Linked DNA regions of Drosophila melanogaster. The protein of the gene in region 1 interacts with the protein of each later gene in a pairwise test. Each region holds a gene or a part of one and is shown in the gene's direction. Other genes may lie near its edges. The genes, in order: cmb, CG2017, CG3104 and CG11380.

Region 1 (7,661 bases):
AGCTCATCGCTCGGAGGATTCGAATATACGATTAAAAGGTAGCATTTTCAAGTATAATATATGTGGTGTATTGTGGTGTACATTTTCATAAGTGCACTTGTTAGTTTTGTCTTCAAAAATGCCAAGATGACTGACACTATTCTAACTGAAAAATAATTTAACAAAGAGCCATTTATTTATAGACAGTGCCTTGCGATGGGCCTTTGTTTGTATTGAGAAAATAATCAACGTGCACGATATACATAACACCAAGTATTCCCTCTTCTCCTCAGGAACCCAGAAAATGGTCAACGAACTGAATAGGCCTCAAAATGGGGACAATGCCGCCTTGAGCGAGGTAAGCTGGAGTCTTCGGGAAATTGCAAAACTCTTAGTATTTAAGTGTTTTAAAACAATAAGAAAACACAGTCAGTAAAGTTAAATAAATACCGTGACACATTCTTTTTAGACAACAAAATGAATGAGTCACACCAATAAGCCTACAGTCTCTAGATGTTTCAGTTGAAATGAAATTTAAGTACGAAGCTTTTTCTATACCAGTGAGCTAAAAAATAGAGTTTTTTAATAATAATATACAAAATCATTTTTCTTTTGATGCCCTAATGTAGTCTTTGAACTATGATGTTTTTAAACCAATTTTTTCATTATTGAAGCTTTCAAAACTAATTATTTGTATTTTTTAAGCGCCTAGCTGCTTCCAACAGACAGCTGCAAGAGATGCAGGAGGAGCACCGCCAGTTGCTTGAGGAGATGGAGACACTGCGCTTACGAGCCGCTGAGCTGACCCTTCTGAATGCCCAGCGCCGACAAGTGCGGCAGTCCACCGAGGAGGAGGAGGTTCAGTCCCACGTTGAATCCTCATCGGAGACAGTAACAGTTGCTTCATCCGCCAGTGCTTCTGGAGAGTTCACAAACCGGGAAGAGGCACCATCTGGTGAGGAAGAGGGCGGGGAGGACAAAGAGGAGCAGGCCAGTTATCTGCAGGAGAAGCTAAACGAGATCGCCAACCTGAAGGCGCAGTTTAAGCGCGTGCAGAACATGGTGGACACCACCAAGATGATCGAGGAGCACATGTCCTCCAGGCAAACGGTACAGGTCCAGAGCTCCACCTCCGTTCAGACCAGCAGGCAGACCACCTCGTCAGAAGTCCGAGTGGCCAGCGAGGCCGTAGAGAGTGCCCAAGAAGAGAATCCATCGACCTCGTCGAGTGCTCCCGATAACGCCGAGCTCCTGAATTCCATGCTTAACATGTTCACGGACTTCACCAGTGATCTACGCGGTCAAGCGGTGGGACTCCGGGCGGAGAGGGATCGGATTCGTGCGCTCAAGGAGGACATCATCCAGCGCAAGCAGGGAAAGTAGGCACGTCCAAACTTGAAAGGGAAAATGGCTCTAGTCATATAATGTTTATTATCCAAGGAACATATTATAAAGTAATCTCCAAATAAATAATTATCCTTAAAAGATATCAAATTACCAAGTAACGTTAGTTTATCTACACCAAAAGCATTTAAAATACTTTTTACAGATATACATTTTATTTTAAACTAAAAATAATATTTATTTTTGAATTTTAGAAAACATTCGATTTCAAAAAACGTCCGCTGCCAGTGTGACCATAACTTGGTAGGCTTGTTAACTAGCTTCCAGCCCTGGTTGGGAACAGCTGTCAGAGTGCGCAAAGCAAAAAAACAAAGTGGGAGTACAAAAAAGAGGAGTTTTTTCAATTTTGTAGCGTCGTTTTTTGTACGCAAATATATATATATATATTTTCTAATGGCGCCGCCGCCCAAGGTAGTTGTGGACCAAGCCAACGCCAGCGCCCGCAGCAATGGCAGCAGCAACAACAACTCGGTGGGCGGGGCAACCGGTGCGGTGCCTAAACAACAAACGCCTGTAAACGGAGCACCCACGTCCGGGTCGAGTGCATCTGTGACATCCAGCCGGTCGGCCCGCTCTCGCCGGCAGCAGGAGCACCTGGGCGAACCGGACATGGAACTTGTCGAGCCAGAGACGCTGCAGCGGGAGACGCTGAAAACTCTGAATGTAAGTTAGACGGACGTCTGGTTGCCATGGCAAATCTTCTCGAAGAGAAGACACCAAGACCTTTCTCTTCTTGGTTTTATAAATACACTTTACACTCATCGCGACCTGCGGAAATTCGTTAGCCGCTGGCTCAGTAGCGAATGCGAACTCAACCACTGCGGACAACGAATTTCGATCGGCCAGAGCAGCGCCCTTATACATATATATATATATATCTGAAATAGATATATATATATAGACCTAAAATCAGCAAAATTACCGCAATCCTCGTGCTGGTTTTCCTGCTAATCTTCATTTACTGTTGCTTAAAGGATCTCCTCCAGCGAGCACGCATCACCAACGCCAAGAATCGATCGCCGGCGGAGCAGCATCTGTCTAGCAAGGATCACAGGTCGCCTGCACAACAGCAACAGCAGCGCGAGGCACTGCGTCAGTTGGCCGCCGAACACGGCAACTACGATACAGCAGGTAATGGGTCCTGAAACCGTTGAGGAATATACACATTTAATTGAGCAATTTCCAATATCCGCACCTGGCAAAGTGATCGGCCTGGCCCACACAGAGATCGGTGCGCCAGTTCATGTTCTATAAATAAGATGCGCACGAAAATAAACGCCCACTGAGATGATGTAGTTCGCAGCGCAGTATTTAGCAATGGACCTAAACATCCATACTGATCTTTGGCTATTTTCCATTACAGAGCAACTGCAGGAACAGCAGCAGCGCTATCGATTCCCCGTCCGTCCTGTCCAGAGGGTTCAGCACCAGCCATCCTCGTCAGCTAATAGCACAGGCGCCCCCTCATCTTCGACGGCTTTGCTGCGTTTGCGTCAATCGACGCCTCCGAATGCCACAGTAGGTGTGGTCATACCGAACGCAACTACCAGCAACGGAAACGGCAATTTGAGTGGCAACGAGGAGCAGGCACCGCCACTGACCCCCGCTGGACTGCAACAACTCGTTCACCGACTTCTTGGTGTACACCATTTTGCTCCCAGAACCGAAGGTTTTCGCTCGCAGGTTGACGTGTTACGCGCCCTGCTAGGATTAGACGAGAACCTGAATAGCAGATATCAACCGAGTAGGAAAGTTGTAGAGGTGAGTTTGAAAGCTTGTGTCAGGAACTTCAAGTGAGCCGTACATTTATAACATTTATAAGATTGATAATAACATTTTTTATATCGTAATAATAAATGAAACTAAATCCTTTAATTCTTGCCCCAGACGAACAACATGGTGCACGAAATCAACCCAAATTCGGATCAGGGTGAAGGCGTAGTCAATTCGACCAGCTTGGAGGATGTTGCATTAAGCGAGGTTAGTTGGTTAATAAAACCAAAAGTCTGCCTTCTAGTACTCAAACCATTTGTACCTTTCAGATGAGCGACAACCGCGCCCAATCCATTCAGTCCCTACACAGCGTCTTGGAAACGCCCACGCCCGATACCACGCCCAGCTTCGATGAGTTGCAGCAGCGCTTGGAAGCCTCCAATAGGAACATGCAGCACCTGCACGACGAACAGGCGAAGCTGTTACAAATCCAAAATTTGGCCAAGACTCACCTTAACGAGATGGAGCGGCTGCGCCAGCAAGCCGATAGCTTACCCCACAATGTCAATGGGGGAGAGGCCCCCAAATACGAGTCCGTGCAGCAGGTACAGGACGACATGGCGTCGCTGGTGGGGCGCATGAAGAATCTCACCGCCTTTATACACAACCAGAACGAACTGAGCACGGTGCTTGGCGATGATGGGCCCGAGATCCTGGCCGAGCAGGAAGCCCTGCAGGAGAAACTGGAATCACTGCGCACCCAACGTGAGGATATGCGCAATCTGGTGGACGAACTAAACAGCATCAACCGTGCGGCCAGGGAGACTGCTAGAGTCATCAAAGAGAAAGAGGAGACTCCCACGCCTCCTCCCAAGCCAGAGGAGGCTGCCCCAGCGGCTCCCAAGGAGCGTGTTGTTCCTGTGGAGTATCAGAGAAACGTACCCATCATACGCCAGGAGGCGGCCAACGCTGCTCAACGGGCACTTCACGCACAGGCAATGATCAACCAGAAGACGGCAGATATAGAAGCACTCAAGGCTCAGATGGCGAGACTAAAGGGAATGCTGTACACTGTTAGCCAGATTGAAGAAAGTACTCCCAGCATGGGCTCCACCTTAGAGCGGCGTAGTGAGGAAAGAACTAGCGTGGAGCGCGAATTGCCGGCCGAGATTGCCCAGCGCGTATTCGCTCTGAACGATGTTACGAGCGAACTGAGAGCGGAAGCAGCAAGCTTGCAAAAGGAGCGTGACCGTATCCTAGCCCTGAAGGCAGAGATTGAGCGACGCAAACAACAGGCGGCCGCCGCTGTTCAAATGGGCGATGATGCACTTAAAAGAAGCAGTCTTACCCCAACACCCACCCCCATGAGACAGCGGATGACCGAGGAAGAGGATCCATCCGAAGTGGATAATTCTCTTCAGGCTACGCCCACCAAGGAACAACTGCGCGATGAACTGCGCTCGCAGTGCGAGCGCCTGCGAACGGAATACGAGCAGAAGCAGCGGGAACTGGAGCAGCGTTACGTAGCCAGTAACAACACCACATCGGAGGCGGATGACGAGGCAAACGACGACACTGACAGCGATAAGTACTTCGCCAACGTACGTACCGCTTCCTCAGCGACCCTAAAGAGGGCTCCATCCGCCAACACAGTGGTGGAGCAACGACGAGGTCAGCAACCTAACGTTCCCCCACAGCAGGCACCACCACCACCGCCGCCTGCTCCTCCGTCGACGCTAAACGAAGATGACCTGAATGTGACACTTGATACGCTATCCCTGGGTAATGACAGCATACCATCCAGCAGCAATAGATCGCAGTACATGCCGCCCCCCATGCAACCAGTGCCTGGAATGTGGGGTACGTTTTTAATTCCACCAACAAAGGCGGAAATTTACCAACTTTACTTTACCAACTTGAATTCATGTATTAGTTTCCTCGTTTTACGCTTATTTTTATGCATCCGCTAGCAGCATCACACAACTCTGGAAGTTCGTGGCATGGACAGCAGCCCGTCTACGGTCAGCCGAGCTCCAGTGCCGGCACAGAGTTTAAAAAGCTGCCAGCCGCCCAACAAGGGGGCTCCTCAAATGGATCCGGATCGAATGCCTCTACCGACGCAGTTCTGCTGCAGCAGTTCATGCAGACGCAGCAAATGCTTATCAACTCTGTGTGCCAGTGCAACCAGGCACTGTGGCATCAACAGCGCGAAATCGACAACCTCAACCACCAGCTACATGCGGTAAGACAATCCATGAGATTAGAGAGCCTAATCAAAGACTAATTCAAGTGTTTTTTCACAGCTCCAGGATCGATTTAATGTTGTAGCATGCCAGGATCACAGCTTCGGCTTGCGCTCGGAATCAGTACCGCCTCCGGTGGGCCCTGGAATGGGTCAGATGCCCAACAATCTGTGCCTGGGCAGCAGTCGAGCTCAATCTGAGCAGCTATTTAACTTTGGTGCCCACCAGAGCGCCTTTAGTAACTATCAGCGCAGCTGTCATCGTAGCGGGGCAGAATCGCATCATCATCAACAGCAGCAGCATCAGGCGCAGCCGTTCCTTAACAATGCTGCTCCCCCGCCACCGCCGACGCACTTCAACAACGAGACACCCCTGTCGCCGCCTACTTACCGCTCAAGTCCAGGTCCCATCTTCATGAACCACCATAACAACACGATACATCAGAACAACTCGAATCTGCGAACCCAGAACCAGCATGCCAACAATCTGCACTCGCTGCCCGAGGGAGCAGCTGGTGGAGGAGCACCTGGTGGCGGTATTACATTGAACAATCAAGTACCACCCGGAAACAGAGCCAACAACTACTGGGACAACTTCCGCAGGTAATGCTTTATAACTTTGGTGTTGGATTTATTAATGGTTGTTTGATGGAAAAGGGTCAAAAGCAATAAAAATTAAATAAAACTATTGTGAAGAGTTAATTTTCAATTCTGTGCACCGGTAAGTGCGACCACGCGTTGCAGATAAGTGTCCCATTAACAGAGTTGAAAGTGACTAACCAAGACTAACTCCAAGTACTGACCAAGTTTTGCAAGTGCCTATTCGGCAGTAAACAAAGCTAATTTATAAAAGATGTGTATTCAATTTAAAAAGGATATATGGAATAGAAAAACTTAACTTAGTAACGCTCACTAGATTTAGCTAGTTTATCAACTGCATGATTCTTTGCTACCCGCTTGCATTAACCCATTAATATCTGTACGCTCTTCCAGCCATTCGCGCCAAAATCTCTTATCAAATAAAAGCAACGAGGAGCTGAACGTGGACCTCCAGCAGTATCGGCGACAACGGGCACGTCCCAGCTACTTTCAGCCGCCCCAGTTGCTTCCGCCTACTACGCGTGGTGGTTTGACCCACCAGCAGCAGCGTCGTCACTTTTTCGAGGCGCCACTAACCGCTTTGCATGGCAGCAGCTCCAATGGCAGCAATAATCTCAACAACAGCGGCAGTTCGGGCAGAAAAAGGGACTGGCGCGATGATGCAGGCCACATTCGCGACCACGACGATGAGGATGTGGACGAGGTGGAGGAGAACCATGATAACGTCATATTCGGCTCGGGTCGACGTCGCAATCGTCGCCGTCCTCAGCTTTCCACGCTGCGGGATGATGAGTCCGAGCAGGCTAGCTCCTCCAATCTCAACATGAACGTAAACTATGGCAACAGTCCGCTGTATCAGCGGAACAAGGTACCAGCAAAGCCCACCACTTCGACTGTGTCGCTTACTCCTCTGCAGCAGCGACATCTTCGTTTCGACTTCGAACTTCCAGCTCACTACATGGACTACATCGAGCTACCCCAGATTACTCCAGTGGACACTACTCCTACGCTCGGACAAGAAGCATCGCCCGCGGACGAATCAAATGCCATGGAGCAAACCGAGGAAACGGCCTCCGAGGAACTGAATCGAAATCTGCTGGTTAACGCTCTGAAGAACGACAAGTTCACCACAAAGTTTTATGAATCAATCAAGGAGGATGTCTACCGCCGGCTGGAGACACTCTTCGAGCAGCAGCAGCAGCAGCAGCAACAACAACAGCAACAAAATCAGCAGCTGCAGCACTCACATGAACCACACGGCTTGCGAAAGGCTCTTAACCAGGAGGAGAACGAACCTACTGGCGACGCCGAGGCCACCGAGAGTCGCAGTGAAACCCCGCTAGAGGTAATGCGTCTGCAGCTAGACAACGATCGGCCCGAGGACGAAAAAGGAACGCCAGTGAAGCAGCTAAGTTTGTCCAATCCACAGAACGGGCAGCACCTGGATGAAATGGAGGACAGTGCTTCTGCTGTTATCTCTTCTCTTAGGACCGAGAACGAAGAGGTAAGAAAGGCTTTCGTAAACTGGATCGATTAACTCATAATTGCGTCTTCCTTACCAGCAAATCCTCGAGGGAAAACTAGAACAAGCCTCTGGCTCGGGATCAGGACCAGGGACCAGCATAGAACTGGCACCGGATCACGAACTAATCGAGTACATTATCAAACGCATTCGCAATCAGACGCACAACAACACCGTCATCAATGACTCCCTACTGGCAGA
Region 2 (6,354 bases), on another chromosome or scaffold:
AGCAATAAAGAAAAGTTTAGAAAAATATCCCAATCCATGCTGCCGGCCGAATCACCAATCCGGAGTACCCCATCCCAAATGAATGGGTATATAGAACTGGGCACGGATTTGTGCGCACGATAGCGCAAAACGATGACAATAAATGGAAAACTTTTTAATAAGCTAATAAAATGATTTATGCGGGTCGAGCGATAAGAGGGATAAAAGGCACGGAGTTCCACTTCCAGATGGCCATTTGATGGGCCCGATTCCGGCCAATTCCGACAGACAGACACCTCATTGACGAACGCCAACCAGTTGGACCTGAGCACGCACACACACACACACATACACAACGAATGTATTCTTGAGCATTATTTATTGGATATTGAATGGGTCGGCCCAGCTCGCAGGATTGGGGCAGTTCAAGAGGGGAGCGTAGCCCCCACCCCCCCACCACCCTATCATCCCCCTTTCATTGGCAATTGTTATCAAGGCATTAGCACATCGGAAATGCTATACGACTATATCATACTCAAGACAAGGGCTAAACGACTATAAGTGTTCTAACGTTTGTCATATCAGTTGGGCGATTCAGTTCTTGACTTTCTATCGAAAAAACGTAATTGAAAAAAAGAAATGTATATGCTAAGTCATCGATAGCGATTAGTAAAATCAATGTAATGTCATAATGTTTAAATGTAAAAGTTATAGCATCCAGGTAACTGGTAGAGCAAATCGTAAACTTCCTCCAAGTTTATACATATATAGTAAAGGTCCCCGCTGTAGATAACCAAAATCGAGTGCCAGTAGTGCAATTTTAAAACGATCCCCAACAACCTGTAGCATCACGACATCCCCATGATCCATGTCGAGGTCAGCAGATACTATTTTATGAGCCTCAGAGAGGTCAACGATGTACATACATACATGCAAGCCCAAGTCCCGAAAACAGACAGACATACATACATATACACATCATTGTAACTGACTACATATGTAAAAATGCTTAAAATATTTGTGATAAAGTAATAATGTTAATGATAAGGAATAAAACGTAAATATATTAATGAGAATACATTGAGTTTGAATTAAAGCAATTCGAGTTGTATTTTCATTGCTGGGAGGCACAAGGTTTCCTAAATTCTTTTTTTAGCAATCTAAAAACGTTACCATATCTTCACTCATTTGAATGATTTTTTGATACCAATACAAAATTATTTTGTAGCAAAGCAGATGTTTTTGAGCTTGCAAGATAGCTCCATCGAGATTGGAATTAAGTTCTATGCTGGCTAATAAACTTATTTGAGTAAAATTTACCAAAACGAATTCTCAACACTAAAGTACTAAAGTAAAGTATGGAAATGTAGGACATGCAGATGACCGCCTTCGCAACCCCATTTATTGTTAAAAATACGTTACTATTTAAATTTGAAAAATGTGTGCCGTTCACAATGGACGCCCCGTCAGCCAGTGTTGGTAAGGGTGCGCAGCAACTGGATAGGTCAGTGTCCAAAAGGGACTAACGCGTGGCGAGCATAAACATCTGTTTGTCGGAGTCACAAAATGTAGGAAGTTTATGGTTTATAATAATTGATTGGATTGCTGGCGCAACTTTGGCGTCCCCGAAATTTGAAGTGTGTTGTGAGTGCTTAACCCACATGAGTGCAAAATTGCCATGGCAACGTGAATCGAACACGAACAGCAACACCCACACAGAGACCATTGAAGATCCGCGCATTGTGGCGCAGTATTGCATCAGCAACTGCGTAAGTGCAGCACATTGACTCCATTTTTGTTTTGCTGATGAAATCGCAGCGCGATTTTTGTTTCTTGTGAAATTCCGCTCTATGCTTGCCAAGCTTTTGTTTGTTGGTTGCATGAATTCGGTAAACGCGACAGTTACTTCCCGGAATTCAAACGGAAAGGAGCTTTCCGCGAAGCGTCCTCAATCAATTTCGAGATAGAGATAGAGAATAATAACGCAGCTGACGCGGTCAAAACAAAAGCGCTTGTGTAGAAAATCAAATGCGAAGCAAACGCGGCGAGGACAAGACGCGAAAAGCTGTCAAAACTACGCGCCGAAAAAGGAAAGGGTCTGGTCGATCAGAAATCCGCTACGCAACACAGATTGCGTATCTACATAAAACGTAATAATTTAATTGTGTGGGAGTTATCTCACAATTAAGAAGGTTCGTTTTTAAACTAAGTTTCCTTATTTGAACAACAATCGTAGAACTAAAGAGGTGTGTTTGAATTGTGGAAAGCCAAGCATTAATTGTTGAATAAAATTATCAAACGTCGCGGCTTCGCATCAAAATCGTGAAAAAGTTAACTTTTATAGTTCCAGTGTCGAAGGACGTAATGGCGTGTGACGTAATTAAACATTGTATATCCTGCCTTCTAATTGCAAAAATAAAGTAATTAGAATTAAAACCTATAAATTTACCATTTATCGTTAGCTTTAGTAATTAAATAGGTTCGTAATAACATCCCGCATTAAATATTTAGGTAACTTTCTTCTTGTGGAAATTCACTAAGTTAATTTTTTTAAGCTCAACCCCCACTTGCTAAACAAAAAATACGTTCCATGAAAGAACTCAAACGCCCTAGGGTAAGGTATTGCGAAAGCTTTTGAAGTATTCAGGTGCTTGTTCTTCGGTCAACAAAGCAAAACAATCGGGAGCAGGTTATAAACAAAATCGAAAGGCACCCAAAAGCGGAGAGCACAAGTACGCACACAACTACGAACTACAACTACAAAGCACAGCACTCAGAACCCAGATAGCCGAACGAACAACAAATTCGACCTGGGCAAATGAAAAGCGCAGCCAAAATCGATATTTTGTGCCAGCGTCGCGCGCAAATAGGAGCTGCTTTAGCGCTTAATATCTCGAATAAACTCGAGCGGATTGGTTTGATTAGTGAGCCAAATATAGGGATTATCTGGTAAGATGTTTGGAACTTGTCGTATTATCGACCTTCTGTTCCACCTGCCCCCGCGCGTGGGCTCGAAACAACGGCCAGAGTCGTGGCAAACATAAACAAGCATTTTCAAGGTCGCTGCAAGTCAAAGACGGCCAAAAAAACAAATGGGGAAAATTTCAGTTTTGATGGATACACATAAGCAAACGGTTCCATCAAAAAGATACATAGAAGTTGAAAAATAATTGTTTTTAAAGTGAAACAAATGACGTGGTGTCGAAATAAAATTAAAAAAACTTTAGTACAATATTAAAAGTTATTTCAACCCAATTATATTGGGTAATTCTCAGACTAAATACAGTACAGTATGAGTAAACAAATCAAATAATATTTACTTATGCATGTATCTCATTGCTATTATTTCAGCCACGGCTGTTCGAAAATCTGTATGTATGTACATAAGTATGTACATATGTACATTTTCGATGTCGCAATTGGCCCAAAAAATGTTTTCTTCTCAAGACAAAGAGTTCCTTTGTCTAAACAGAATTTTTACCATTTACCTCATCTGAATTTTGTATTTATATGATCCACGCTTCCCTTTTGCAGCAACACATTATGGAGTCCTTCCTGAGTCTCTTTGATCCCAATCAGGACGACGGCTTCGAGGAAGAGCCCGAGCTCAATGGCAACAGCAGCGGCGGCGGAAGCAGCAGCAGCGACTATGAGACGGACGCCAATGCCAACGAGTGCAGCGTAGTGAGCGGGATGCCCACCGAGCGGGGCAACCTGATCTTCGACTTCGAGCAGGGAATGCTGCCACCAGAGCCGCAGCTCGGAAATGTGGAGTACAAGCTGAAGCTGGTCAACCCGTCGAAGCAGCGATTCGAGCACCTGGTGACCCAGATGAAGTGGCGTCTGCGCGAGGGAAACGGCGAGGCCATCTACGAGATTGGAGTATCCGACGCCGGCTATCTGCAGGGACTCAGCGACAAGGACATGAATGCCTCGCTCACCACGCTCAAGCAGATGGCCCACAGCCTAGGAGCCAGTACCTCAGTGCTGCGGCGAAAGACCATCGCCGCCCGACGCGCCGTCGCCGAGGTACTGGTCCGTAAGATCCCCGACGACCAGCACAACATCGAGGTTCGGGTGGCGGTGCTCGGCGGAGCTGATGCAGGCAAATCCACTTTGCTGGGCGTGCTTACACAGGACGAGCTGGATAACGGACACGGCCGGGCGCGGCTCAATATGTTTAGGCACATGCACGAGATTCAGTCTGGTAATATGTCGTTATAAGCACTAAACACAGATATAAATTAAATTAAGATGTTTGGCATCCATTTTAAATTGTCATCAATAAGGAATATATCAGTTGTACTACATTATTCATACATCTCTCGTTTACAAACTTTTTTTTAAATTATATTTATCACTCACAAAGTCCGGTTTGTTTGCTTGAAAATTACCAATTTGCTCCTCTTTTCCTTAAGGCCGCACCTCCTGCATCTCCCACGAGACGCTTGGCTTCGATGCACTGGGTAATGTGGTCAACTACAAGTACAATGAGATGATGACGGCAGAGGAGATTAGCGACAGGTCCAGCAAGCTGGTTACCTTCATGGATCTAGCCGGACACCGACGCTACATGCGCACCACCGTGCAGGCACTGAGTGGATACTCACCCCACTACGCCATGCTGGTGGTATCGGCGGGCAGCGGTTGCAACGACACCACCGAGGAGCACTTGGCTATCGTGCGGGCACTGGACATGCCCTTCTTTGTATTGGTCACGAAGACAGATATCACATCGCCGGACGCGACGGTACAGGAGTTGTGCAACCTGCTCACCACCATTGGGTGCCGGAAGGTTCCCTTTGTGGTGACCAACACGGATGAGGCCATCTCCGCCGGGTCAAACCAGATCTCCGAGAACATTGTGCCCATCTTTTGCGTATCGAATGTGACCGGCACGGGACTCAACCTAGTCACAAAGTTTCTGTACGTCCTTTCGCCCGGAATCAGCAACGCCGAGAAGGATCGACTCGAGCAGGAGTCTTGCGAGTTCCAGGTGGACGAGATCTTCCGGGTCTCTGACGTCGGACCCGTTGTGGGCGGTCTACTTGTCCAGGGCGTGCTGACCGAGAATATGGCAATGAAGATTGGTCCGCTTCCCGATGGTAGCTTTCATCCCGTTACTGTTAATACTATCCACCGAAACAAGGCTCCTTGCCGAGTTGTCCGAGCTGGTCAGAGCGCTTCGCTGTCTTTCAGTATGGATCAGGATGTGCCCACGCTACGAAGTGGCATGGTTCTTTTGGGTGATATTGGAAATAGTCTGGATGAGCCCTACGGGACCTTCTTCTTCCAAGTGAGTTGCTAGTTTTCATTTATCGTTACCAAATAAATACATCAACTTCCCTTTGCAGGCCAAGGTGTCCGTGCTGTTCCACGCCACGGCCATCTATGTCGGCTTCCAAACCACAGTCCACATAGGCAGCATTCGCCAGACGGCCGTCATTCGGGGCATTATGGGCGGCGAGCGACTGGGCACAAACGATTGTGCTTCGGTGATGTTCGAGTTCGTCGGCCACCCGGAGTACGTGCGTCCTGGAATGCGCATCCTGTTCCGCGAGGGCACCAGCAAAGGAATCGGAGTTGTCACGCAGGTGTTTCCGGTCAACAAGACAGGCATAAAGTAGAGAAGCGGGCCAGATGGATAGTTCCAATGACATATCTATATATCTCAAACAAAGATGACATGTACATATACTTAATTAGCAATTAGAGGGAGGCGTTAAATCTTAGGCAGATCTTCTGTACACTTAGTTTCGGGTTCTGTGATTTTTCGTTTAAGCTCGGCTCACAATCGGATGTTGTGAGTAATCCTTCTCAATTAACCTTATTTCATTAAAATCCACCCCAAAATGCATACAATGTTGCTTTCAATTCGCGTCCGAGCCAAAGAGTATAAATAATTACCGAAGTATTAATTTTTTTCCTTCTAGCAGATGTACATATATATGTACATATGATCAAAACCGACTAACTTTAAGCAACATTTACCATCAATTCTATGGTATACAAAGACGAAAAAGTGCTCAACAATTTGTTTATTTCTGTCTACTGCTAATGTGCTCATCTTGACTACTGTTATCACTTGTTGCCGGGACACTGGCGCCACCTTCAATTTCCTCCGCCTTGGCTGGCACTTCGGATGTGAACCGGAAGAGGACGGGCACCTCTCCTATGGAGGGATTTCCGTTCGCTTCCAACAGGCGAATCCACGAGAGCAATGAGTCCTTTGTGGAGGTGCCTGTGGCACAGATGGCCATAATGGTTCCGTCGTCCTGTTGGTGGACAGAGCGCAGCTTTCCCAGCTGGTTGTGTCGCCTTGGTGGAGCACGACCAAAGAAGGGTACTTCGATGTGGGAGACATCGTCCTCGTCC
Region 3 (7,843 bases), on another chromosome or scaffold:
TGCTCTATAAGGTAAGGAACTACTCACCATGTACTGTTTGCGAAAATATGCTAGTTACGAAGTCTGCCTAATACTGTCCAAGTTGCTGTGGCGTCCGTGTGGAAATGGTTATGCTATTGCATCACATTTATATATTCTTGTAACTGAGCAAGTTGCTTAACAATTTGTTGCCTCTTTGTTGTTCTTTGTCACATATTTTAAAGGACGCGCAGTTTCCGTTTCCAATTGGATTCCGTTTTCGTTATGTTGTTGTGGTACCAACCGACTGCTTGTACCCTAAACTACTACAACTACAACAGCACCGTCACATTTGGCCCCCAGGAATGGGTAAATGGTTGTTATGCCTCGCAAATTTAATATATATATAACTTTTTTTCGTTTCGCGACGCGATGAAAATCACTCGAGCTCTGAACTTGCAGTGTGACCGCGTTTGCTGAACTAGAGATGGCCAAGCATCGATTGCACTATCGATTACCTATGCATTCTCAAAAATTCGCATCCACAAAGTAGGAACTATCTGTTTCGACTAACGGTCATACTATGCAATAAATTCAAAATTTGTTTATACTTTTTGCGGACGAAGAGTTATATATTTCATATTCTGTTTTGACAAAGGATTGCTGTTTGTTTATAATCGTAATACAAAGCATATGCTATTTTGGATATAGAACACTAGAATTCCCATAGGCGAACTTATTCAAATATCAAATTAATTGGTTCCTGAAAGCACCCGTAAATTCTTAGTGGCTGAAAAGTCTTATTGGAAGTCAGAATAATTACTCCACACACTAAGCATCTTAGTTATGCTTTGCTTTGAGCTAATCCTGGTTCTAACTGCCACCGAAAAATGATTCCATTGTTTATGCCAGAAGTAAATAAAACAATTTCGAACGTTATACGTTAAATTACAAAGGGAAATCGCTTTATTACCAAATCAAAATCTAGCTATGGGTACGCCACGCTTAGAAGTTCCTGCAAGGCGAAAAATGCGCGATTAGTGGATGTCCATCCCGGGGATTCTAGCACAAACTCACTTGGTAATGATGCCGTCCTTCTTGGCCAGACGCACGATGCAGTCGTCGGACTCGCCCATGCGACGGATCTCGCCGCAGATGGCGTAGGTCTTGGAACCGTCGGTCTGGCGACCGGTCTCGGGGTCCACATCCACGATGCTCAGCTGCACGGAGGCGTGATCCTTGGCGTGGATGATCCTGTTGGACGCCGAGCTGCAGGGAAGGGTATCGGCTGGTCAGTAATCCATTCGGCAAATTGTGCGGGGAACACGTGTTTCACTTACCATTTGCGGGGCACGTACAGATCAACATTCTCACCGGCGTCGTTCTCCATTTTATTGGGCTGAAAGGTAAGGGACACAATTAGCTTGCTTTTTATTCAGTTTTAGTGGCGGCCACTGCTGGTTTACTCACTTTTTTGTAGAAATTTACAAATCTAGCGACCGCAACTCGTCGGTGAAGGCGAAAAAGAGAAAGAAATGACAGCTGGACGTGAAGTTGGCTGCGCTGCGCGTGGCGCCCCCTGTCGGAAGTTTTGCGTACCAGCTGGTTTTGGGGTGACCAGCTGGCAAAGGTTTTGGTATTTATTTAATTGTACATTTTTGCAAGATATTTCCATTCCCCTTTAATGAATAGGCATGTTTCAATTTTGGTTATGCACCAAAATGTATTTTAAAATTAAATGATAATTAAAAAAAAATTTCACTTGGTTTTGTAAGTAAATATCAATAGATTTAAATATATATTTTCCCGCATTAGTGGAAAATACCAAAATCTAATGAATGACATATTAGATACATGTTCCAGCAGCGACTGGTCACACTTTCGAAGGCCTGAGCGAAGGCTGCAGATTTCGCGTCGGGAAAATTCTATTGCATATTTAGGGGCGCATCAAGTAAATGGCTCCCATTAGAGTGGCTCAATATATATTATTCGCAAGCTCCCAACTGCACGGACTTACTTATTTAGCATGTGAGTATTGATTTTGCAACAGCCAGTCAGTCAGTCTGTGATTTTGTTTTCGCTGGATGGGCGTTCAGCGCGACTGCCCTTTGACCTCGCTCGATGTCAGCAGCGATTTTCGTCAATGGATGCGGACCCCCACTTTTTATTGCCACTTCGCGTGTGTTTGTGCGGCTGTTGGGGCGCCCCAAGTGGGCGGCATTGTTTTCATCGCGCGCCATGTCGCGGAATTCGCAGTCCACGTTGCCTATTTATAGGCGTCGCTCACTCAATGAACTCTCTGATCGCATTTCATTGTGAGTTCGGACTTAGCTTTTTCAGTTGGACGCCAACTTTGGAAGCAATCGGTTCGCTTCGCGTCGCTCGATTTCAAAAATCCCAAACGGCGTGACTTTTGCCTTATTGTTGTTAGTTGTGTTTTTTCGACTGAAACTTCTTGAGGTGAGATTTCACAAGTGGTTATGCTGCTTGTTGACCTTTTGTGTGTGCAAATTATGATATTTTTGCATAATATGTTTGCCACCAGCCCAGTACAGCCGAGAGCAAAAAGATAAAATGAAATAAAATGAGATCATGATAACGTGAGATGCTATTTATAAGCACCTAAACAAGAAAGCAAAGATCCCGAGACCCGTAATAAAGTGGCAATATAGTAAATGAAACGAAATGAAAGTGAAACTAATCATGGTGCTTACAAAATACATTAGATAAATTATGTTAAAGTCCACCCAAAGTGACCAGACTTCAAAAAAGCTATTGATCATTAAAATCAAACAAAATAACAAGTGGCTGCCAAAACAATCTAATCAGTAGATATAACCGTGTACCATAAGAGGTATCGCATATTACGGATATTTTATCAGTTTGCTGGCTTATCTGTAACAAACTTAGCGTACAAAGTTGGTAAGAAAATTACTACAGATATTATAAGCTCTAAAGGTGCTAAAATGTTTCGGAACTATACCTTTTATTCAGCTAAGCCGTCTTTAACGGAATTTTCGTTTCGGCCGTATATTTGAGATACATTCACAATGTAATTATGTGAATAGGGCAATTAAGAGTCGTACTCAGGCTAAGAAAACTCTGAACTCATGTTGTCAGCAGCAGCACACATTGCGTGCCTGGCCAGAAAGACGATGATGATGAAAAGCCGCATGAGGAAAGTCCGAAAAACTAAAACACTTTCTAGGTCAAAAGTTGAAAGGCACAAGGGAAACATCACCATGATGCTCATAAAAAAGGCAAGAAGCGTAGATGAAAATCAGAAAAAAAAATGCGGCTGCATAAAATGCAATTAATAAAGCAGTGTACCCACAAAGTAAGAGACCAGAAAATGAAAAAGAAAATGAAAATGCTTCACTTTGTGACTGGCTTGTTGCGTGTTGATTGAGCCAAGTCAGCTGCGATCTGAGATGCCGCCTGTCAATTTCCAGGGGGAGTTCCTATTAACAACGGAGAAATTACAGCATGCAAAAAAGTTAGTAATTGTTGTTCTCTTGCAATAGGGGAAATCGCATGAGTTGCAATAATCTAGACAAAGCCTTTACTTTCAAGAAAAGGGAATTCATTTGAAGGGCAACAAAGTTGTGAACCTTATCAAATTAATGGCATTCATGTGCAATATAGAGAACCTCTTCAAACACTGATGATTTTTATGGCCCCTTAAAAGGCATTTGGCTTTAAGGGAGCCTTATCGATAGAAGGGAATTCAATTTGCCCCTCCATGAATTATTAAATTGGTCTTGCAGCGCTTAGCTAAATGTTTATGTGGCTGTCTAAACTGACAGAAAATAAGATAACTCCGAACTTCGACTAAAATTTAAACCTTTCACCAGAACTTAGATTGGGCAGTCTTTTGCGAGACACTCCTCCCGATGAGATTACAACTTCTCACTCTCCTACCATTTTGGCACTATAATTCCCAGCTACGCCGAACGAAAACCTGTTATTTCCGCAGCAACTTAATTCTAATGTGGCCCGTGCCTTTTGGCTGTGCTCCTTTTCCTCTTTACAATTTGCAGTGCTCTTGAGATTCGGAAACTGGTCGCTTGGAATTAAACTTGGAATCGCACTTGGACAATGATGCCGCATCTGATGTTGTCCGCTGTTGCTGGTGCGGCTGCTGGTTCTCATCTGATTTGATTTGGTGCCACTTGCCAAGCGATCTCGTTGCTATATAGCAGCTATATAGTTGGCCAGAAGAAGTCGTTGTTGCTGCTGCTGCTGCTGGCGGAGGGGCAGCGTTACAGTTCGGAAAATCGGTCAATGGAAACGGGCTTGTAAGCAGGTGCAATTGCTGCGAGAGCCACGGAATAGACCAAACAGCCGGGGATCCAGAGGCCGGGCGAGCTTGGAGGCGCAGGCATGTCGCTTAAGGTGAGTAAATGCTCAGGTATTGACCCATATAACACTTAATTGACTCAACCGGATCGCGTTTGATGGCTCTTTTAATGGGAAAAACTCAAATGAATAGCTTCGGCAACTGCGAACTATGATTTAAGCGCACTGTCATGGATTTGAAATTGAGAAAAATTGAAAGAGTTCAATGGATTGAAATCAGATCTTGATGCCCAGATTATGTCTGAAGCTTTAAAAGTGTTTCTCACCTGCTGCTACTCACAAACATATATCTTGGTCGTCGTCATCAGGAACGTGATTATCACGATGGCATCACCGTCTTCATTGTCATTATGTCACTTCAAAGTGCAGCAGCATTTGCATTGTTACCCTCGCAACTTGAGTCACGTCATTTTCATGCAAGGGTTTTCACTTGTCTTTGCCTTTCAACAGGTGCTTCAAACCACTTCATCAATGGCAGAAACCTGGCTAAAAAGCAAACACACAGACAAACACGGGCACATCTGGGCCACTTAATTCGCTTCATTAACGCAATGTTGACATTTCAAACACACTTAGCTGGAAAAAATATTTGTTGCATTTCCTCCTTCAGCTGAAATTGGCATGCCAGTTAACCCTCAAAAAAAAAACAAATGCATCATATTTAGATTTCGACACATATTACTCATACCACCCGTAAGCCGCCCTCTGCATTTCATTTCACTGTACAGCCCTGTCCATCTGAGGGTTAGGTTTCATTTTGAAAAAATGCATTCAATGTGGCACAACATCCGCTGCGAAATAACTTTTTTTTAGTCACTGCTCTGACCCTAATTACTGCAAACAGGAAGAGTAATATTCCCACGTGGCGCCCAAATGCGGAATGGGGGGGGGCTATGAAGTGGGAACTTTGGCCAGAAAGCTCGGGGCACGGGTATCACTTCCCCGAAAATCTCTCTATTTGGACAGCTGCTGCGGGGCAAGTTGATAATTGATTTGATTCCGTTTTCAATTTCATTTTTGCGACTGCAGAAGGAGACGCCCTCGGATGTGCAACTGCACATGGCAGCGATGAGGGGAGATGAGGTGGCTCTTCTTCGCGTTCTGGACAGTGGCAAAGTGCATGTCGACTGCAAGGATGAGGTAAGTTATAAAAAGCATTTAAATCAGTTTATGCAATTACACGACTTCCAGTTATATAAAGTCGGTTAAATGCACTTTAGTTTTGTACATGCAATCGTTAATGCATGACACATGCGACTTCAAAGTGCTGTCAGTGAAGTATTGCGAAATCGTAGCCCAAAACAAAGTATTTTTTAAAGTCTCTACGAGGCAAACATCAGTTAACACGTCGTTGCTAAATTAAGTACGCACCAATTAGCAAGGAAAACGAAAAATGCAGCAAACTTACATGCGACTGAAACAAAAGCCATAAATTTTTGAATTTTCAAAAGTAAACAGAAGGCTTTTGAATACTCTAGCAATCGAAGATGAAAAGAATATTTAAATGTTGAGAAAATAAAGCTAAATGCCTTAGTATTATATCTTAACTATTTTACTTAACGTAACTAGTGATACTTCCACCTGAATATCCCAGTTATAGTACTTTTTGTTAGTGTATAAAAATTGAAATTAAATTTCGCTGCCCATTCAGTGGAGCATGGACTCAAGTCCAACTAAAAGGAAAGTGGGCTGCGGGGGCAGTGTGCCATTGTGTTTCTATGTGTATATATATACATTTCTATATATATATATATATGTATATTATTATGCCAGTTGGTCTGCAAGAGTCCGCGGATAGGGTGGGCACTACGTGACTCCCCCATTTGGATGCAGACCACCGAGTGCATCGAGAGCGATTTGCAAGTTGTGGCGTGATTTTCCCGCTGGGACATGCCTCAATTTCCCCTGTTGTTTTTCCTCTGTTTGGTTTTTGATGAGTCCGAGCCACGGACTTGCATGCAAATCCGCACGATGCGATTAAGCGTTGACTTGGTGAAACTAATCGCAAATTGCTATTCAAATCACTTGTTGGCCAATTAGACAATTAAACAATTTATCGCTTTGAAGTTGAAACAAACGTAAGCTGTCAATTTGTGATGTCAGACGATTGGAACTTTGTTTCATTGTATAATTAAAGATTTTATGGTTTTGATTGTTGCTCATTGATTGAATGGCAATTATTGGTACAAACTTAAGCAAATTATGACATTTTACGCGGTTTTTTGGTCATAACATGGCCTAAATGAGTCACAGAGATGAAATAATGACTGATTTTTAAAGCTTTTGATCTAAACTAACTATCCCTATCACGTTTATGCTGATTTTTGAAAATCAATTTTTTGACATTTTTTTCATTTTTTGTAAGGGGTAACATCATGATTTTTTGCGAAAAATGGCAAAAATTTTACATTTAGAACTGTGAATGCCATTCGAAAGAGAATTTTGCAACGATTACAACGAGGTATGACATTCCATATTTGAACTAATATTTTGATTGTTATTGAGAAAAAACGTAGTATGATCCCTAATATTTCCTTAAAAGATTATACTCATGTACAGATTATGTGTGTATATAAGCCAAGACATTTCTATATACTATTTGTTTTTATTATCTCTATAGATAGATATCTTTCTAATTTATAAAATTATTTGCAGGATGGAACCACCCCACTGATTTTGGCTGCTGCCGGAGGTCACACCTACTGCGTGATGGAGCTGCTCGATCAGGGAGCCGATCCAAACTCGCGTCGCCTAACGGGCACCACGCCCCTTTTCTTCGCCGCCCAAGGCGGCCACCTGGACGTGGTGAAGATTCTGATAAAGGCGGGCGCCAGCGTGGACACGCCCTCCGCGGATGGCGGCACGCCCCTTTTTGTGGCCTGCCAGGGTGGTCACGTGAAGATCGTTCGCGAGCTCTTGGACTGCGGAGCGAATGTCAATGCGCACATGAAGGTGGGTAGTCCGAGATCTTGACGAGGCATAATCTAACAGTGACCTATTTCTCTGCAGGATCGAGCCACGCCGGTTTTTATCTCCGCCCAAAATGGCCATCGCACGGTTCTGTCGCTGCTGATTCAGGCTGGTGCCGAGATCGATATCAAGCGGATAGACGGCGCCACGCCCCTGTGGATAGCAGCCCAGATGGGACAGGATCACATATGCAAGGTGCTGCTCCAGAACGGCGCCAATGTGGACACCGTGCGTTGCGACGGCGCCACGCCCCTCTTCAAGGCGGCTCACAAGGGCCATGCCGCCGTAATCACCGTGCTGCTCAAATACCGACCCAATCTCGGCCAGCTGCCCAATGGAGAGTCCGCACTGCATGCCGCCGCCATGTTTGGCCACATGACCGTCTGCAAGCAGCTGGTGGCCGCCGGCAGCGATGTCCTGCTGAAGAACCACGATGGTCTGACGGCCCTGCAGTTGGCGCACCAGCAAAAGTACACCTCCATCTGTGATTATCTCCAGGAACGCATACGGACTATGGTGGCGCGCAGCGCCAAGGCAATGGCCACGTCCGGAGTGT
Region 4 (7,601 bases), on another chromosome or scaffold:
CGAATTGATAAAGAAAGGGTCGCGCTTTGTGGAGGATGCCCACGGTCAGCCTTCTCGATTTTGGCTTTGTGTGCGATGCGATCCGTAGGCCTCTTCATCAGCATGGGACTTGCCCGGCACAATAAATAATCATAATGCCGCATTATGACGGCTGACTAAGTGACATTGTTGCACCTCTGAACAATGAGCCATGGCTAGTTGAATTGTTGAAATCGAGCTAACGTTGAGGTTCGGCCGCTTGGTTTGGCAATGCTTTCTTAGCCGCGGCTTTGATTCGCTCCGGTCATTGTTGGCATCGGAATTGGGCGGAATCGAATGGATCGGAGTGCCCGAGCACAAAAGAGCATCGAACTGGCGGGCTGACCAGCATTTCAATTGCGTATTCTCCTTATCGATGCGCGACCATCAATGGGAACTTAATCGAAATAGCTAGCCGACAGAGGGAGACCCTAAAGGAGGAGAGTCAAAGCGATTAAACATCACCTATTTCAACCTAAATGGACAAACATGTTTCGATTCTTTGTCCACATGCACTTTCTTCACCATGTCACTTTCGGAGATTGTCGACGACCCTGAAACGGCCAACACATTTCGAATGCAAGGGTACCACCAGGCGGCAAAAACACTTTCGACAGTGCCGCCTCGTGATTGCGAATGATGTTTTTGGGTTTTAGCTTGCAGTGTTCAGTTATCTACGGCCTTTTATCGTTATCTCGGTCCGCTTAGTGTCGTGTCTTGTGTCTTTTGACAAAATGGATTACCAAATCCCACCAGCGACGATCCGAACACAAACGCCACTCTTGTTATGCCATTTCTCCTTTGGCGCTGGGCAAAGCCAAAAGCGAAAAGCCACTCCAAATCCCAGGCCAAGCCCAAGCGAAAACAACTTAATGCGCCAATTAAAGTGCCACTACTCGCGGACCTCCGGCACTCTCTTTTTTTCCCATCTGGATGGGATGCTCTGCAATTGTTTTCATGCAAATTTCAGTTTCTGTTTCGATTGGTTTGTGGCTTTATGCGGGCCAGCGGAATACAGAAATAATAATAATAATGAACCCAAAACGTATTCACCCGAAATGAAAGGCCCCGGAATCGGTCTTTTGAGTCCAGGCCTTTGTCATAAGCCAAAGTTACGCCAATATTTTTATGGCTTTGAACTTGAACTGGAAAAGCCAAGACAAAAGCGTCGCCGTTTTGTCCCCAAAGAAATTGGAAAGGTTTCCCAGTTCCCTCCATATCTGGTTATCTACTATACAATCATATATATAAATATATATATATATGGCCCTTTGTGAAAGATTGCTCTCCCATGGCGAATCAAGGTCGATCATCTATGATTCTCAGCACGGGAAGCTCCATGCCTAGATGGCAATGGAAACTATTCAATGAACAAAGTGGGCAGGAATATTTAAACGGGCACATCTGTAACATCTCCCCTACTCGTATTCCAGTGCCTCAAACTACATCTTCCCAATTCCGCAACTTTTTTTTCTCCGCATTTTATCTCTCTGTATCTGACCAGCATCTAAAGTACTCCAGCACTTTGTTTACAGTTGCGGCAATCCCAGGCAACCTACACCTTCAGTCACACACAGCTACGTGCGGTGTCATTGGTGGTGAACTTCGGTCTTCTTTTCCCGATCCCCGGTCCACAATACGCCTTCGCCTTCGCCTTTGGCTTTGGTTTCAGCTTTAGCTTCAGCTTCAGCTTCAGCTTCAAAAATTCAACTTCAACTCCAACTCCGAAGCCGATATTCCAGCTTGATGCAACCCGAAGACCAAGTTGTTATGCTGTGCTTGCGATATAAAAACCGCGAGCATCGCCAGCGCCATCCGCAGTAAGAGGCGCGACTTTTGAACGCTAGCACCGCTCCGATTCCGATTCCGACTACGAATCTGAGACGAAAATCAAAACCAAATTCGTATAGACACTATAACCAACATAACTTAAACCCACCAGCCCGGCCGTGTACCCTTGGTATTTTTTGTTTTTGTGGTTCTCGAAGACACAAATGTATTGAAAAGTGCATATATTATTACATATAACATATAACGTCAATATCAAATTCGGATTTTGTGAAAAAGTCGCTGTGCATGCGCATTGATACCTGGAATCGCCATGAGATTAGCGTTAATATTGGTAAGAGTAGGAGTAAGATTATACAATCTCCTTTAGAAAACCCGGAAAATAGACCCACCCACCAATCGAATTGTGCAATTTGTGCGGGATAAAAACTAGTCGTCGGCTGACAAATTAATTTGCATTCAAGTGGTGCAGTGCTGGCCAAGCCGGCTTAGAAAGTGGTTGCAGTTCAACCAACTCGACCAGGTGTACGATACAATGAACTCCCAACTCCCGCTGTCTATGGTGTCTCCATATCTCGATAATCTTGACCTTTTCACTCGCTCCACTGACTCCTGCCCTTCGGCTTCTCGGCTATCTGACCCTGCCCTTGCCCACTTTGCCAGTCCGTGTCCAGATCCATCTATCAAGCAGCACGATGGAGGAGTAGTGGGGTTGAGTTGCGTCAATCGCCCACTAATTGGACGCTAAGATGGTAGAATCACAAATCTGGCGATTGCCGAAGTGGCCAGCAGAGATTCGTTTACGCAAATGTGCACACTGAACGAAATTAAGGGGTGGTAGGTGGTAAAGTGTCTTCACATTGAATCAAGCGGCTATAAATATTTATTTGCATTACTCATAAAAGAAATCATCTTGTGATATATTAAGTAAGTAAGTTTTGAACCAACGTACTAAAGTACCTAAATGTCAGGCAATAGCGTGTATTTAATTTATAAGGGCACTTTACAACTATGTCAACAAAGAAGTTCGAACGAGAAGCTTAATTTAACTTTTATTAATATTCGTACATATTGTTAGTCTATCCACATATTTGGATGTAGTCTTTTCCTTCGCAGCGCTGGAAAGACTCGTTTTCTGGAGTCGCCACTCGTGTGGTTACATAAAGTTATTACGCCCCATCCGATGGGGGAGAAGGCGCCGCTCAGCCACTGGCAGGATAATCTGTAGACGTCTAATTTACATTTTATTGTTGTGCTTGGCTTTGATGTTGCAGCAGCTGCTGTGCTGCTGCTGCTGCTGCTGCTGCTGCTGCTGCTGGTGATGCAACAACGAAAGTGAAACAATAACTAACACACCGCAGCACACAAACTGGGCAAAAATCCAAGTCCGACTAATTTGCACGCGTTGCGTGACGATCGTTTGCCCCGACTTGCCGTTGTTTGTAGCTCGTAATTTGCAATGCGGGAATGGGAATCTCATCTCTGGCGCAAAATCGCCCACCAACCCGTCCACTCGGTTCGATTCTTTGTGCGGCAAGTGAAAGGCAAGGCGACTTCGGGACTTGATGCAATTAAATTAAATTATTACAGAAAATAATTGGTAAAGATAAATCAATACGAAGACAGATCTAACTAGTTGCTGCTCTGCTCCTTCTGTATGAGCGGTGGAGGTTACATAAAAGCAGTTCGCTCTTCGGGTCCCACAGCTCATGCTAGCATTTGACAAAAATCCGCAGCTATTCGCTGTTGCGGCTGACTTGTGGCAAGGCGAGTGTGCCAAAAAAAAAACTCTTCCTGCTTAACGACTAGGCTAAATAACAACTGCTACATAAGCAACCAGCAGTAAAGAGACGACAACGACTATTAAAATGACTTGACACACTGTCCTAGTTTCGGGTAACATAACACACACACTCACTTACTCACTCACTCACTGGATAATCGAGTCACAAAGTGCAATTAAAACTTAACTAACCAAGCGAAGTACGAAATTATTGCTGCACATGGAAAACTGGGAGAGGCGCATGCTGCAATTATGGCATGCAAAGTCAGTAAACTATTTTGCTACTTGGAGGGCTAATTCGATTTGAACCGTAAATCTGAAATTAAAGAGTAATGATCAGTAATGACAAGAACCTAGCCTAAACTGGATTAAATGAAACATTATCAGGCTAATAACCCATAATTCGCATGTATCAGTAACAGTTAGCGACCGTAACCCATAATCGTCACCCAGATAATCATCATTTGATCGATGAAAACCGAACCATTAGTGTTATCTACCACCATTTGCGAATCAAATGACTGAAGGCACGAACTGCGGACAAGCGCTAAAATGAAAAGACTCAAGACACGAACTCAAAGACATCGAGATTCAATTACAACACCAATTCGCCTGACGAAATGTCAAATGTGAAACCTCTTCTCAGCGTGTGTTGTGCATCGAATGGCTTAACGATCGATATTGAGAGCGATAGATGGACCACAGCTTTTGTCTCCAACTCCCCCTTTGTCACCCTCTATTGTCTTTGCCTCTTACCTTGAGCCCGAACCAAGATTGGCCAAAACGAAACCAACAATTTTCACAATTTGATTTGAGTTGATTCCGACAACGAACCTAATGTCTTTCCAGCTTTGGAACATTTTTAAATCGTTACAAATTCTTGAAAAGCTAACTTCGATAGACTTCCTGTTTGTTTCAACTCGCAAGCTGGTAGCTAAGCTTTAAATAATATCAAAAAAGCAATTCCTTTAGTTAAATGTATAAGTCCTATAAAATTGATAAACATTTTACCTTGTGTTTGTCTATATTTCACAGGGCACTCTTAGTGCTATAGTGTGCTTGGCCAGCAGCTTGAGCCAGTCAGAGGCGAGTGGCTCAAAGGGCAATGGATTTCCCAAAAAGGTTACCACCCTGAAGAAGCGACCAACAAAAACGCCGACCACAGTTCCGATTTCCATCAGCAGAGCAACCACTTTGAAGCCCAGTAAGCCACGCGTGAAGATCGGCACATCGGCAACCACCAAGAGCCCCACGAAAGCACCGGCCTTAACCGAGACATTTGGCAATCTGCCGGCGGATGACCTGGAATTCATTAAGGAGCTGGACAAGCAGTTCAAACTGCACGGAAACAAGATCAAGATCAAGGTGGAGAGGGATAATTCCACGAGTAGCGGCGGCAAGAACAGCAAGAGGACCATCGAGGGGGATTTGGGGTGAGACCATGGATGACAGCATTTTGACTGACCAGATATTAACCCATCTAACTTCTATATCCAAACAGATACGGCTACTCGCATCCTGGCTATGATTACACGCCGCCCAAGTTCATGTTCTATCCATACTCACAGCATGATATTCCCTCGGGCTTTGCCCTTCCACAGCCACATCCGGAGGAGCAGGAGGAGGAGGCACACCAGCCGGCAATGCAACATCATCACAATCACGAGCAAGTGACCAGCGTGACCATTGAGCCCTCGTACTCCTACGAGCTTAAGCCCCAGACCAGCTATGAAACCCAACCGCAGCACACAGCTCCCGAGCAGCCGCAGATTGATCTGCCCCAGGATGAAGCGGAAAGTCCCAGTGGTGCAGGTGGTTCCAGTGGCCACGGGGGATATCAGGAGCCCGTCATTGTCTTGCGTATTCCAGGACCCGCCAAGTACGCCGCCCATTTGCAGACCCTTCTCCAGCAATATCTGGAGATCAGAGCGGCCCAGTACCTCAGCTTGCTCCAGGAGGCCGATCAGCAGCAACAACAACAGCAGCATCAGCATGTGGATCCTTCGCAGCAATATGGACCACCAGAACCGGCCACCTACCATCAGGAAGTCAGCTACGCCCACCAACTGGCACCCACGCCGGCACCCGTCCAGTACGCACCCATCGATGATGTCTACCAGAGCTACAAGGGTCGCCACCAGCAACAGCTGCAGCTGCAGCAGCAACAATATGAGCCGCAACAATACTACGCGCCCATGGACTACCAGCAGCCCACACAGTTCTACTACGCTCAGCCCCAATCCCATTTGCAGCAGCAGCCTCAGCTCTATCTGATAGCAATGGCCCAGCCGGAAACGGAACCGGAGCCGCAACCACAGCAGCACCATCATCAGCAGCACCATCATCATCTTCAGCAGCAGCAGCAGCAGCAGCAACCAATATACGTTCCAGAATCTGATCCACCGACGGGTCCTTCAGGTGGTCCTGAACAGGAACCGGAGGCGGACCACAGCCTTCCCATAACGGAAAACAACCCACGACCCACCCACACCAAGGTCATTTTTAATCCGTACCCCTACCAGCAGCAGCAGCATCAACCGCAACAGCAGACCACCAACATCGAGGAGCACCAGCACCAGCCTGAGGGCGAACGCCCCTTCAACTACCACGCCCATGCGATCAAGATGCGCCAGGGCAAAAGGGCGGCCAAGCCGGAACCCGCGGATGGGGACGTGGGTCCCAGTTCGGGCGACAAGGGACTCCAACAGATCAGGGAGTATGTGAGGGAGAAACTGGGCGCTGAAATGGGTTCGGCTGTCGAATACAAGACGACACAGCTGCTCGAGGGCTGAGGTCTGGATAAATGTTCAGATGTTCGAAGGCATGGAAACTCATTTGACCGAACGCACTATCTCTGCCTGGATGAACTAAACCAATTTTTAAACTTGGCAATCTTCAAACGATTTTATCAAAGGTTTTTTCGGATGCCTTAGAATTCTAGAATTAAATTTTAAATCGCTTACGCACGTTTTCTATGTATATATCCAGGCAAGCCATCTTTAAAACAAATTCAAACATCCGTACATTATGAATATGGGGATCAAGTCCAGCAAGACAGTAAAATTCCAGTGAGTGCCATGCCCACGTTCACTCGTATTCTTAACACACAATTTGTGGTTGCTTCTTGTGCCTGATATCCGCTCATTAGTATTTATTCCAAGCTAGAGGAGCAGAACGATCCCGGGGTGATCCTCCAGCTCCAAATCTCATCCAACACCTACCCGCAATCCCTGAGCTACACAGCCAAGGCATACTTTTGGCCGGAAAAGAGGGCGCCTAAAGATAGGCATAGTTTTCTTTTCTTAGCGAAGAGGTGCTGCCGGGACACATTCGCTTTTCATTATTTTGTACGACGTTTTTTTTTATGTTGTTTATATTGTTAACCAAGAAAATGTGCTGCTGATCATGTGTGCAATATTTAGTCTTAATGTGCTTCTTGATTTACCTATATTATGTACTTGTATTTTTGTATGATTAAACCGAAAAGAAATTAATTTGAAAACCAAATAACTCTTTCCATTTTATTCGAATATTTGGCCAATTCACGGAAGTCACGCAGCAAAGCCATAAAAATAGCATCAAATCCGGCGTAACTGAAGTACTAAAAGCTGAACGATTTTGACACGAGTGTTACAACAAATTTTTGTTAAATTAAATACACCGAATTGTTAGCAGGCACGCAATTGGAAAATGCGGGGAAAATCCCGGAGGAAATTTGCGAGGATGATGGCCCTCGCCATTCCAAAGAGTTCTCTTTTCCCTATCAAGTCAAGTAGTTAGCATGGCAAGAGTTCTGGGTGTGTGACTATACCTGTAGTTCAGCGCAACAAGATCCTCAAATGCACAGCATCATTGTACATAAAATAAGTTTATATGATCTGTGCTACACAGTGGCTGCTTGTTGTGGAGTGGTTTCTGGTGAAGCTGACGTTTTATGGGTCCATTGTTGGGACGTAGCAATCGTTTATTCAGATCTTAAAGCAGGTGCTTTTCACTTTTTCGGCACAGCGAA

Evidence for each region.
Region 2: the proteins of cmb (region 1) and CG2017 interact in a two-hybrid assay, tested with the Drosophila melanogaster proteins (one large-scale study listed by BioGRID).
Region 3: the proteins of cmb (region 1) and CG3104 interact in a two-hybrid assay, tested with the Drosophila melanogaster proteins (one large-scale study listed by BioGRID).
Region 4: the proteins of cmb (region 1) and CG11380 interact in a two-hybrid assay, tested with the Drosophila melanogaster proteins (one large-scale study listed by BioGRID).

Annotation. Positions count from the first base shown.
Region 1 is NT_037436.4:13,440,943-13,448,603, forward strand, and holds the start of cmb (combover), read left to right. Parts: upstream 1-1,651; 5' UTR 1,652-1,776; coding exon 1,777-2,046; intron 2,047-2,176; exon of another isoform or gene 2,177-2,357; coding exon 2,358-2,514; intron 2,515-2,746; coding exon 2,747-3,144; intron 3,145-3,270; coding exon 3,271-3,363; intron 3,364-3,425; coding exon 3,426-4,956; intron 4,957-5,066; coding exon of another isoform or gene 5,067-5,069; coding exon 5,070-5,338; intron 5,339-5,399; coding exon 5,400-5,941; coding exon of another isoform or gene 5,942-5,945; exon of another isoform or gene 5,946-6,019; intron 6,020-6,331; coding exon 6,332-7,442; intron 7,443-7,500; coding exon 7,501-7,661. Other genes in the region: CG14109 (uncharacterized protein), read left to right, coding at 284-337, 685-1,362.
Region 2 is NT_033777.3:5,857,564-5,863,917, reverse strand, and holds CG2017 (uncharacterized protein), read left to right. Parts: upstream 1-1,512; 5' UTR 1,513-1,640; coding exon 1,641-1,748; intron 1,749-2,015; exon of another isoform or gene 2,016-2,171; intron 2,172-2,613; exon of another isoform or gene 2,614-2,928; intron 2,929-3,513; coding exon 3,514-4,186; intron 4,187-4,397; coding exon 4,398-5,275; exon of another isoform or gene 5,276-5,333; coding exon 5,334-5,606; 3' UTR 5,607-5,835; downstream 5,836-6,354. Other genes in the region: ECSIT, read right to left, coding at 6,018-6,354.
Region 3 is NT_033779.5:2,849,761-2,857,603, reverse strand, and holds the start of CG3104 (uncharacterized protein), read left to right. Parts: upstream 1-1,825; 5' UTR 1,826-1,986; intron 1,987-2,294; exon of another isoform or gene 2,295-2,880; intron 2,881-3,998; 5' UTR 3,999-4,341; coding exon 4,342-4,353; intron 4,354-5,346; coding exon 5,347-5,457; intron 5,458-6,972; coding exon 6,973-7,269; intron 7,270-7,326; coding exon 7,327-7,843. Other genes in the region: RpS21 (ribosomal protein S21), read right to left, coding at 964-973, 1,036-1,227, 1,299-1,348.
Region 4 is NC_004354.4:1,189,574-1,197,174, forward strand, and holds CG11380 (uncharacterized protein), read left to right. Parts: upstream 1-1,734; 5' UTR 1,735-2,119; coding exon 2,120-2,140; intron 2,141-4,624; coding exon 4,625-5,022; intron 5,023-5,090; coding exon 5,091-6,381; 3' UTR 6,382-7,087; downstream 7,088-7,601.